2 linked regions of the Arabidopsis thaliana genome follow. The protein of the gene in region 2 purifies or fractionates together with the protein of the main gene of each other region. This does not show direct contact. Each region holds a gene or a part of one and is shown on either strand. Other genes may lie near its edges. The genes, in order: DIS1 and ARPC4.

What was found.
Region 1: the proteins of ARPC4 (region 2) and DIS1 fractionate together in Arabidopsis thaliana (co-fractionation; one study listed by BioGRID). This does not show direct contact.

What each region holds. Positions count from the first base shown.
Region 1 is NC_003070.9:4,493,218-4,499,205, forward strand, and holds DIS1 (Actin-like ATPase superfamily protein), read left to right. Parts: upstream 1-1,706; 5' UTR 1,707-2,176; coding exon 2,177-2,223; intron 2,224-2,317; coding exon 2,318-2,777; intron 2,778-3,149; coding exon 3,150-3,296; intron 3,297-3,547; coding exon 3,548-3,640; intron 3,641-3,775; coding exon 3,776-3,895; intron 3,896-4,316; coding exon 4,317-4,427; intron 4,428-4,507; coding exon 4,508-4,633; intron 4,634-4,716; coding exon 4,717-4,815; intron 4,816-4,906; coding exon 4,907-4,987; 3' UTR 4,988-5,252; downstream 5,253-5,988.
Region 2 is NC_003075.7:8,153,261-8,158,807, forward strand, and holds ARPC4 (binding protein), read right to left. Parts: upstream 3,531-5,547; 5' UTR 3,457-3,530; intron 3,108-3,456; exon of another isoform or gene 3,067-3,107; 5' UTR 2,987-3,066; coding exon 2,984-2,986; intron 2,812-2,983; coding exon 2,746-2,811; intron 2,413-2,745; coding exon 2,360-2,412; intron 2,251-2,359; coding exon 2,223-2,250; intron 2,125-2,222; coding exon 2,050-2,124; intron 1,834-2,049; coding exon 1,729-1,833; intron 1,332-1,728; coding exon 1,238-1,331; intron 909-1,237; coding exon 802-908; 3' UTR 547-801; downstream 1-546. Other genes in the region: PAKRP1 (phragmoplast-associated kinesin-related protein 1), read right to left, coding at 5,385-5,547.

The sequences.
Region 1 (5,988 bases), on a different chromosome or scaffold from region 2:
TAACCCATATATGTGATATTAGAACATGAGGTGATGGTATACTCAACTGCTTACACCTACTAACTCCTAATTCTTAAAATTTGATTATCAATTACAATTAACGGTTTTAATTATAATGTTAAAGTCCATTTCAAATTCCAGTCACAATTTTTATTCCATCTAAAGTAATTTGATACAAATTTGATTTTGCTTCGAATATGGTTGTTTTGTCAACGGTTTTTTATATCAAATATAGTTTTTTTTCTCTTTTCAATGCAATCGGTTAGGTGGTATTTGATTTTTCCTTCAAATTGAATTTTAAAAAATTCATTTTGTTCTTGATGATACAGTTCAATTTATCTGAATTAAACAATCTTAACCATATTGAATATTAAAACATGAGTATTGTATATTTCATTATGATTACACCTCATTTACCCCCAAATCTCTTTAATCAATAAACTTGACATGATCATGAAAAAAAATCATTGTTTAAAAAAAAAAACTAAAACAATAAACAAATATTTGTTTTGATAGTTCGAATATAATACTGCTAATACATTGATGAGTATTTATAAGTAAAAAAACTTGTAGAATCTTAAAAATATATTTAGATCGTCCTTTATCAATAAAATTTGTACAAAATGCGCTTTGTAATATTTTTTCTTTACGGTTACATCTTTATATTTTATTTTTATTTTTTGCTAAAGTGAAAAAAATAGTGCATTCTTTAGAGCTTTGAAGAACGTTGGTAGATCAACAATGAGTCGTCTGGAAAACATGTCGGCAAGAGATGCTTACAGCAATGTGACTGATCTAAAAACGATAGCCAACAAATTCGTAAACGGCGAATATTAAATTGAAAAAACTAGTGAATTGAGTATCACATATCTGCGTTAACGAATTTAGTAATTTGTTGGACGAATGTAGTAATTCGTTAGATGAATGAGATCAATCAAGCCATTTAAAAAAATATATATTCATTCGCATTGTAGTTTTACACATACCACCTAACATTGACTATAAAAAATATATATGAAAAAGAAATCTGTTGCAAGGGAGACTAACCTAGCCCAACAATTTTTAAAGCTCTAGGGCAAAATAAAAATTCAGGACCTTATATTCATGTTAAAAAAAAAAATTTATATATTTGGGCATATTTATACTAAAAATTATTTTGTTTGGGTCTTTTGAAATTTTATTACCTTGAAAACAGGTCATACTTTACACTTAAATGCTAAAACATTGGGCTACATTTTCATTTTGTTATTTAAACGGACCGGTATGAGTGAGACATGCATGATGATTTAAGCTTATCTACTCAATAGGATTAGGCTGAGACTGATATGATTCCATTTTTCGAGACCGTGTGAACATAGTTCATGATAACTACTGTGTAGTAAAGTAGTAACAAGACTTCAATCTCAAGTTTTAATGGGTTTTGTTCGGTGGTTCAAGCGTCCTTATCATAAGTTTGTTTTTCTGTCTTCACTACACACATCTTAATATTGAGTTAATCCAATTAACAGTAGGCATATATCATATATCATATATCAGAACATTATTTGTGTTATGATTACCTTTTATATTATCAAAGTCCCTAGTTAATTTGGTTTGTTTACAAAGACGATTACAGTATATTATATATCCAAACAAAATTTGTAATGATGATAATCAGCCCAGTATGGTTCAATTCAATGTTATTGAAATTTGTTTGGTTTTTAAATCAGACTTGGTTATTGAGTCGGGTTGGAAAACCAAATTAACCACAGCGCATAAGGACGAAGCCAAAATTTAAAACAGTAGTTGTACATAACTTCATTTGTTTTTTATCGGAAAAATCTCACACGATAAAGTACCAGTCGACGACGGCGACTTTCTCTATGATCTGACCGTTTCGCTGAATCTCACGTGAATCTCTGATTTTCCGGGAAAATCAATTTTCTCTCATTGTCTCTCTCCCTACATTGTTTCTCATAGCCTACGAGAAATTACGTGGTAGCTTGTCGGAAACTCAACTTCCGTTGACGGAAGGCGCGAGAAAGAAGCAAGCTTAGGTTCGATCGGAAAATTCTAGGGTTCTCTAGTGTTTAAACGGTAGAGATAATCGATCTCTAATCGGATACTGTTTTGGATCTCCATTCACACCCTCTGGTGAGCTGATTTTGCTTTAGAGATCGCCGGCTTAGTTTCTCTAATGGATCCGACTTCTCGACCCGCTATTGTCATCGACAATGGAACTGGGTACGTTCAATGATAGGTTTGATTTGTTTATGCGCTTAACGTGTTCGATGAAATGCTGCAATTAGATTCATTCTTGTGTGTGTGTGTATTGCAGGTATACTAAAATGGGATTTGCGGGTAATGTAGAGCCATGTTTTATCTTACCAACAGTAGTTGCAGTAAACGAGTCGTTTTTGAATCAATCCAAGAGTTCTTCTAAGGCAACTTGGCAAACTCAGCACAACGCTGGAGTTGCTGCGGATCTCGATTTCTATATTGGAGATGAAGCTCTTGCGAAATCGCGGTCTAGTAGTACTCATAATCTTCATTATCCAATTGAGCATGGTCAAGTTGAGGATTGGGATGCTATGGAGAGATATTGGCAGCAGTGTATATTTAACTATTTGAGATGTGATCCTGAGGATCATTATTTTCTTCTTACTGAAAGTCCTCTTACTCCTCCTGAAAGTCGAGAATATACTGGAGAAATTTTGTTTGAGACTTTTAATGTTCCTGGGCTTTACATTGCTGTTAATTCAGTTCTTGCACTTGCTGCTGGCTACACAACATCAAAGGTATGTTACACATTTCTTTTCTCCAAGTATTTACGTTGTTTGCTGTGATGAAATGCTATGTATTAGCCTACTTGCTGTGATGAAATGATATGTATTTAAGTTGTTTGCTGGGATGAAATGATATGTATTTAGGCTATTAGTTGTTTAAGTTTGCTTGTAGACTGTGTGAATCCTTAAATCAAGTCATAATTATACTTTATTCAGTTTTGGTTTTAGGGACTGAGTCTCAAGAATAGGTTAGTGTAACCTCACCAACATTAGACAATTTCCGAGCTTTGTGGGATTTAGCAAATATTAAACATGTTCTCTTGTTTTTTGTTCTGTCTCGTTATGCTCGCCTCGCCTCTTAATTTGACTTACAATTCTTCTTAGTGTGAGATGACAGGGGTTGTAGTAGATGTTGGAGATGGGGCAACTCATGTTGTACCTGTTGCAGAAGGTTATGTCATCGGGAGCTGTATCAAATCGATTCCAATTGCTGGCAAAGATGTCACCCTCTTTATCCAGCAACTCATGCGGGTATGCACTAATTTATTATCTTAATATTAGTCTTGGTCTTCTTTTGTAGTTGGTTTTCATTCTTTCTCTGTGACATTTTAAGATTTTAAAGGCACAGAAGTTAAATGTGTTAAATCCAAGCTTTGAGTATGGTAGCTAGGCTTCCTGTTTATTTGTTTTAGATGTTGTGCTCATATGCTTAGAGAGGGTGTTTACTGGTTTAGATTAATGTATTAACTTCATGTAACTTCTCGTTTCAATGTTTACTGTAGGAAAGAGGTGAGAATATACCACCAGAAGATTCATTCGATGTAGCCCGTAAAGTGAAGGAAATGTACTGCTACACTTGTTCTGACATCGTAAAGGTAATCCTTAGTGGTGAATATTCAAGTCAGATAATATTAATATATACTCTTCTGAAAATTTATTACTGGCCTGTATGCTGAAATCGCTTGAAAAGAATATAGGAATATTGATAAAGAACATTCATATGGTTGCAGGAGTTTAATAAACATGACAAAGAACCAGCAAAGTATATTAAACAATGGAAAGGTGTAAAGCCAAAGACTGGTGCACCATACACTTGCGACGTGGGATATGAACGATTCCTTGGACCCGAGGTTTGTTACCATCTATCTGTTATAAAAAGTTGTAAGTTGATAAGATAACCAGAATCGGAGACTGGATATCTTTACTGGTGCATGAGTTTCTAGTATGTCAGTGAGCTGTTCATGATTTGTTATCGATTATAAGATATTTTCAGCACTCTGTTCTGATTACTGAACGGTACTGATATAAAACTATGCTCTCTCAGAAACTCAAATTAGGTAATTACTTAGTCCATTATGTTAACTGGAAGTCTGGAACTAATTCTTATCTAGTTAGAATTCAGCTGTCACTACTGGACCCATAGGAAGCTAATCTCCTTTGTATCTCTATACCAAGAGAGTAACTGGAAAGTGGAACATAATTTCCTTTATTGTTCTTGCGTTTTTGTTCTGCTATTACCGATGAGTAATGTTGAGATTTTGTGTGTTACAGGTGTTCTTTAATCCAGAGATATACAGCAATGACTTCACAACTACTTTACCAGCTGTGATAGACAAATGTATTCAGTCTGCACCAATTGACACACGAAGAGCTTTATATAAGGTTTGAAACGCCAAAGACTGGTCAGAGTTTTAAGATAATTTCCAATCCGCAATACTGATGAATTTGTGAAATCATTTCAGAATATAGTGTTGTCCGGAGGTTCAACTATGTTCAAAGATTTCGGAAGAAGGTTACAAAGGGACCTCAAGAAGATTGTTGATGCTCGTGTTCTTGCTAATAACGCTCGTACTGGTGGTGAAATTACGGTAAGAAAATTGTATGATATTCTGGAAAATAAAAGTGATAACCAGTTTTCTTAATCTGAGGTGATATTTATTTATAACCACAGTCTCAACCGGTGGAGGTTAATGTCGTGAGCCATCCTGTCCAGAGGTTTGCAGTTTGGTTTGGAGGCTCTGTGCTTTCATCAACTCCTGAGTTTTTCGCGGTATGCAAACTAGTTTAGAGATCCGCTAGTTTGAAGCTAAACCTCATGGCTTGATCGTGTTTTGAAACAAGATGTATTTTTGTTGTTGCAGAGTTGCAGAACGAAAGAGGAGTATGAGGAATATGGAGCAAGCATATGCCGCACGAATCCGGTGTTCAAGGGAATGTATTGAAGCTGCTTCATAAATAATTCACCAGCAGATTCTGTGAATGTTTGTCTGCTTTACTCCATTTCTATTACTGACTTTAGGGTTCTTGAGTACACACAGTGTAAGCTAGGCTTGATGTAGAAGTCATATTATTATTCAGACAAATTAAAGAAAAAAAGTATGTAGAAGTTTGATTTTTTTTTCATATTATTTTCTGTTAACTCAAGCATTAAATTCCACAGAAAAGTTCCGGATTATCAATCGTCTAATTGTCAAGTTATCATTTTTTATAAGCTTTTATTCCACTCAAGAGCTTAAGTTCTAGATGAAACACATGATAATTAAGTTTTGTCTACTTTATGATGTGTTTTATTTTTTATAAATTAGTTAATAATATTTAAAATTAGACATGAATAGATAAACCTTCTTTTGGGTAAAATACACAAAATCATTTTCTTAAATTACTCAAAACAAATATCTTTCATTACTCTTTGGTTTTGGAGTAATGTAAGATATTCTGTTGTTAATAATAAAGGAAAAAACTTTCATGGGAAAAAAAAATATATATATATATCTTTCATATGTTCTACAAAATACATTATTACATTTATAGCTTGTTGTATAAACGCACTAAAAAAACATGTAAAAGAAAAAAGTTTGTTAAGACAAACTGTTGACATCACGGTGAAGCTCTTCTTTCATTTTTTCTTCTTCTATCGGATAAGAAAGAGAACATCCCGAGTCTCGACGAATACGACTCTCTTCCTCCGATCTCATCAAAAACTCTTTCGCTAAAGCTCTGTTTCTGGGCGTTCAAACAATTCCGGAGTTTGTCGGATTCTCAACTTCCGTATACGGAGAAGGTCGAGCAACAAGTAGTCAAAGTAAGCAAGCGTAGTTTTTTCTCTCTGTCTTTTTCTTTCCGATCCTCAATTTCACGAGGCAATCAATTCAATTCTATTCAATTCGATGTTCTTACTCTCTCGTTGAACTGTAACTTTCCTCGTAGATCTAGTTTGTTTCTT
Region 2 (5,547 bases):
TCACAAAACATAGTGTGCAAATATGGTAATCTGTGAATTTCAGATCGACTCAATCAATTTGATAATAGAGCAGAGTTAAAGATCAATACTAGCTCTGTTTCACGTGACTGGATTTGTTTCGTCGTATCTTCTACAAACAACAGATTCGTATGACCTAAATAACGTTTCCTAAACCGTAGAAATTCTCAATCTAAACCCAGAAATCAGTTCCATTCTAGGCACAACACACCGATTCGTTGTTTGACATAAATAAAAACTAACCTGGAGCTGCGTGATGGCCGGAATCTGAAGTAGCTCACTAGGTCGACGCAGGACGAGATTAGATAGAGACGGCGATGGAGACGCCGAGAAGCGAGAAGAGTGATGACGAACGTTGAGCTTCTCGGTGTATACGGCGTCGTTCGTTCTTTTAGGAAATAATCAAACAAATTAATAAATTCCCCTATTATTAGTTTCAATAATGGGCCCAGCCCAGTAACTCATATTTTGGGTTACGGTGTAAAAGAAACGACGACGTTTTTTCCTTTGTTGTGGATCTTTGTTCTGTCAGAGATGAACAATTTGTTGGTCTTTGGTGGTAAGAATAAGATAAAACAACTTTTTGGTTTCTGGGATTGTACGTTCGAACATCTACGATCAACAGACCACATTTGATAAGTATCGCATTACATACACTACAATTACCAAGCCGATGGCTCGGTACTTTGGTTGTGTTAGAATAACAGAGAAAGTAGCAAAATGAAGAGTAGATGGATTTTAACCAAATAACGAGTGATTGATACAATGAAGGGTTACATTATACTACTTCAAGAGCTGCTTTACATGAACTGTTTCAAGAACTCCGTAGCAACGAGTCTTCCTCTTGTATTCACTGACTCCTTCAAGTCCCTTATTTCTTTCTCTATATCCTGCAATTTCCATGGTTAAAAAATAGTCACACTTCAAGTTTCAAATCTATTTTAAGCGGAGATTAGCATGTTGGAGGACATAATCAGAGTAACTAATCTCTGTTGACTCTTGTAGAAACAATTCAAATTCAAAGACGGATATAATGACCTTTGTTAAGGCAACTATTCAGAATACTACTTCTCAAGTTATTTCCGTGAGAAACACAACGACGTAAGGATGCATCACTAACATTAGGTTTGATGCAACCAAGACATATATTGATTGTTAGGATGCTACTAATGGGAGCAACCAAGGTCATAGAATAAAAAGATTAGGTTTCGAGAGAGACTTGCCTCCATAAACTGAATAATGAAATCAATTAGCTTCTGTTTCTGCATCTCTTCGCAGTGGTAGTTTGTTATAAGAAAGCTTATGTCATAGCCCTGTTCAAAACACCAACAAAGAAACCAATTGAAGGGAATAAGGGAATGGATCGTTCACACAATGCAGGGGAATAAACAGTAAACCATCTAAAGCCAAGGCAATGCATTTCCGCACAGTGAGATGATTCATGATTCATGATTCATAGAAGGGAAAAAGAAAGGAAAGGTGTGGTACATACAGACTATCTATCATCCTAAACCTAAAAAATGCCTGCACAGAAAGCTAAAATTAAGGAGAATTTGTGAATACTGTCTGCGTTATGTTTAATCAATTCGTGATGCATTTACCATTAAAAAAAAATAGAAGTTCGACAAAAGAGGGAATGCATTGCAACTTCTAGATAAAACCTAGTAGCACTCACAAGTACCTAAGTGTTGAATCAATAAGAAGGTCTACCTGCACTGGCTTCCTCCTCAGTACTTGAAAAGCTTCTGCCCTCATGGACAAGAATCTGAGAAATTTTTTGGTTAGTATGTTTTCAAGTTCATCCGCTTGCTTGACCTGCAAATTAAAGATAACAAATATTTGTAACAGCAGAACAAGACAGATGTCTAGACTAAGTCACGACTCGTCAAGACGTTATCTCAGGAGAAAGAAACAAAGGAAACGGTGAGAAACAGGAAAGTAAAACAACACAAAGCCTTTGTTGAACAGTGTACCACTGGGGCTCTTCCTGGAAGTATTTGAAGGAAAAGCTAGGGTAAGATGAACATTTACCTTGAGGCTTATCCGGAGTGAATTTATAGATGTTTCTATTAAACACTTTTCAGCCTCATTTCGGCATATTAAAACCTGCAAGTTGCAAAACTTAGCAGTCAACTACAAAACCTAGGTAAGAAGACAATGCAATATCAACGCTAAACTGGGAGGGAAACAAGTAAACTTCTTACAGGATTTAGCAAAAGTTCTGGGCTCGTCCTACAAAATTTAGCAAACACATGGTGATAATAAGATTCTATGCTTGAAATAAAAATGGAAGAAGAGCACCCCATTCTCACATGCATCTTCTTGTGAGAAGCTTACATACTTTAATTCAACCTCTGGTTTATTATGCCTTTCAACTTCTTGACAAGGAAAATTCTGCAAGTAGAGAAGTATAGAAGCTTTCAGGAATATAAACCATGTAAAGCTGAATGTTTTCAAAGACTCCACATGGCCCCTTTCACCTACTTTAACGAAATCGGTAGGTTCTGACACCAAATATTGCGAGAAAAACGTCAAAAAGTAAGTGAATGATGGTACAACATGTCTAATCAAAAAGTAAACAACTAATACAAGAGAATAACAGACCAAAGGTGGATGAATGAGATAGAACGCCAACATGAAGCTTTAACTGCCTTAAACAAACTTAACCATAAAGATGGAAACTTTGAGACCTATGCCATGATATCATGAACCAAAAATAATTTGTACCTGTAAGCACATGGCAGCCTCGAGTGTATTTTTTATGCATGCTAGATACAGCCGTAATGAGTTTGCCTGGAACATCAAAGACCCATCGGAAGCAAATTTTAAACAATTTCTGCAGTAAATCAGTATGCGATAGACATTGTTTAAAAGAATTGTTTCTAAACAGGACATGTTTGAATGAAAAAGAGTCTTTGTCAAGTATGAGAAGAATCAAAATTAGAATTACAGTCAAGGTTCTTACCATGTCCTAGAAATGATGTTATTCTACTCGAGACTTGCACCAGACTTAGGATTTTATCTTTCTTCTCGATGAATCTTTATGAGCTGAAAAAATAATCCAAACATAAACAAGAAAGCATCTTTAGTTTCATAGAATTTAGGTTACCAACTTTTTTATACTAAACGTCAATAAGAAAGCAACTTTAGGATCAAAATGTCTACAAGAAAACAAAACACTCTCAAATGTTTAAGATAAGAAGAGAACAAAATAACAATCAAGTAACAGCAAGATCCCGGAGACTAGAGTTTCTATGTAATCAACTCGAAGCAACAACAAGATCATGATTATTGAGAGACCCACTTAGAGAAATAAGCCAATCTACTGAAAGTCTGAAACTTTTGGAAAATGTGAGAAAGGGAAATCAAATTAGATCCCTAGGAATCAATCAGACAAATCAAAAGCCCTAAAACCTTGGTCGTGAACAAATTGCATACCTTGGACGACTTGGAGACTCGTGAGAGGAGAGATCGTAAGGAGATTTAGAGATCAACGATCGGAAAATTGAATCACGATCAAATTGACCGGATAAGTGAAACGAAATGCGTCAAAACCGAACCAAACCAGACACTCCGACCGGATCTGGTACATTCTAAAATGGAATGTTCATTGACCCACAAATACCAGCAAGATTCTGCGGATTGAACCGGTGAACCGGGTTGCTCTACTTCTAAGTTCTAATCTACAACTACAAGCGGTACTTGCGCTTTAACACATCTGTTTATGTTACTGTATTCATTTATAGCAAAGACTGGCTCTGCTTCTTGTAGAATGTTCTGTATCCGATGAGTAGTATATATCATATTTGCATGCGTAGATGTTGCAGCTGGGAGAGTTAACGCAGTCGATTTCTTGCTCAGAGGCAAGACTTCCTTCAGAGTACTTTTCTCTTGGCAAGAGCATTCCAAGATTATAAGAGACTCAAACTCAATTCCAATTGAACTCGTTGAGTCCTTAACTACATTCAAGTGATGAATTTGTTCAAGATGAGGTACTTAATGTTGAAGATACTTTGGGTTGCTATGTAAATTTTTCCACTGTTTTGGTTCCTCTGAAAGTTTACTTAGCTGTGCGTTGTGTTATTTTAGGTGCCGCCCTTCTGGGAAAACGATCTTCAGAGTATTATTCAGATGGGTTTCGAGAGATAGTCAGCAACAGAGCAACAACTGTATGCAAAACGAAACAAAAAGCAACAACATATGTCTTGTTTTAAGATGTCTAATATCTACTATATGAGTATGACATTCCCATTTGGTTGTATATTGCATAGGTTCGGAACTTGTGAAAATTGAGCCAAACAAATGGTGAACGAAGAACGGTACGGAGTTATTAATAGTCTCTGGAAGTAATGTTTTACTTCACATCGTTTCTTCTTGTATCTTTTGTTTTATTCATAAGAAAAAGTCTGCGTCTGTGAAAAGAATGGTAGATGAAGAACTTGTGGACAGATTTGTATTAGTAGAGAAGAGGTAGATTCAAAAAAAATTATATATGGATCTTATAGAAGTCTTTGTGTGATGTTTTTGGTATATTCAGGTCTCACTTGTTGGTCTAGTGTGTGACAAAGATGTTTCAAAAGTCACAAAAGTTAGATTTACTCTTTGATGATGGAACAGGACGAATTGATTGTAAAAAATGGTAATTAACACACATAGACTATACCCTTTTGAGATATGGAAGAGTTGTTTTTAGGTACAATGGTAATTTGCTATTTAGTGTAATCACCCACTTAGTGACACATCCTTCATGATAGCAATGCTTACAATAAGGCATCTGGCAACAATTCTCAGATCTCGACATATTCTCCAAACAGATTGCACAAGTCTCCGATTCTTCTTCTTCTTGGTCCAAATCTGTCGCCGACGGAGAAGAAATACAAGGCACAACACTGTATAACTTGTGTGTCAATCTGACAGAGACTATCATGAATAAAGGTTGTTGACGTTGTTGTGGCAAGTAAAAACTTTGACTTCTTTGCAGTTGGGCTTCGACAATCTTAGAACATATTTGTCCGGACAGGTCACGATCGTGGAGTTGGCGTTGAAGACGTTGATAGACGTAGTTCCGTTAGTGTAATTTGCTATTTAGTGTAATACCCAAAAATATGAATATTGTTACTAGAATATAGAGAGTGCGAGATAAAGGAAGGAGCACGCTCATGAAAATGAAAAGTAGAATTGTTTGGGAATTAGGATTGCAGTCTAAGCTAAGAGATCTGCATGAAGGTTGGTTTAATCTTCTACGAATCCAGGAGGTTTGCGTCATTTGTACATAATGAGTTGCAAGTTATGAGTGAAATTGGACTTATATCACAGAATCAGACACCCATTTTATACACATTAAACACACAAAATAGATATTAGAATTATATGTTGCACCTATCATAACCCGAAAACCAAGAAGGCTCAGCAAGATTTGAAAACTCAGTTTCTTTTTTGTAAAGCGGCTCAAACTCATCTCTCCATTGCTGCTCACTACTTGCATTTACTGATGGTTCCACGGCTTGATCACATTTGGTAGAGCATTCA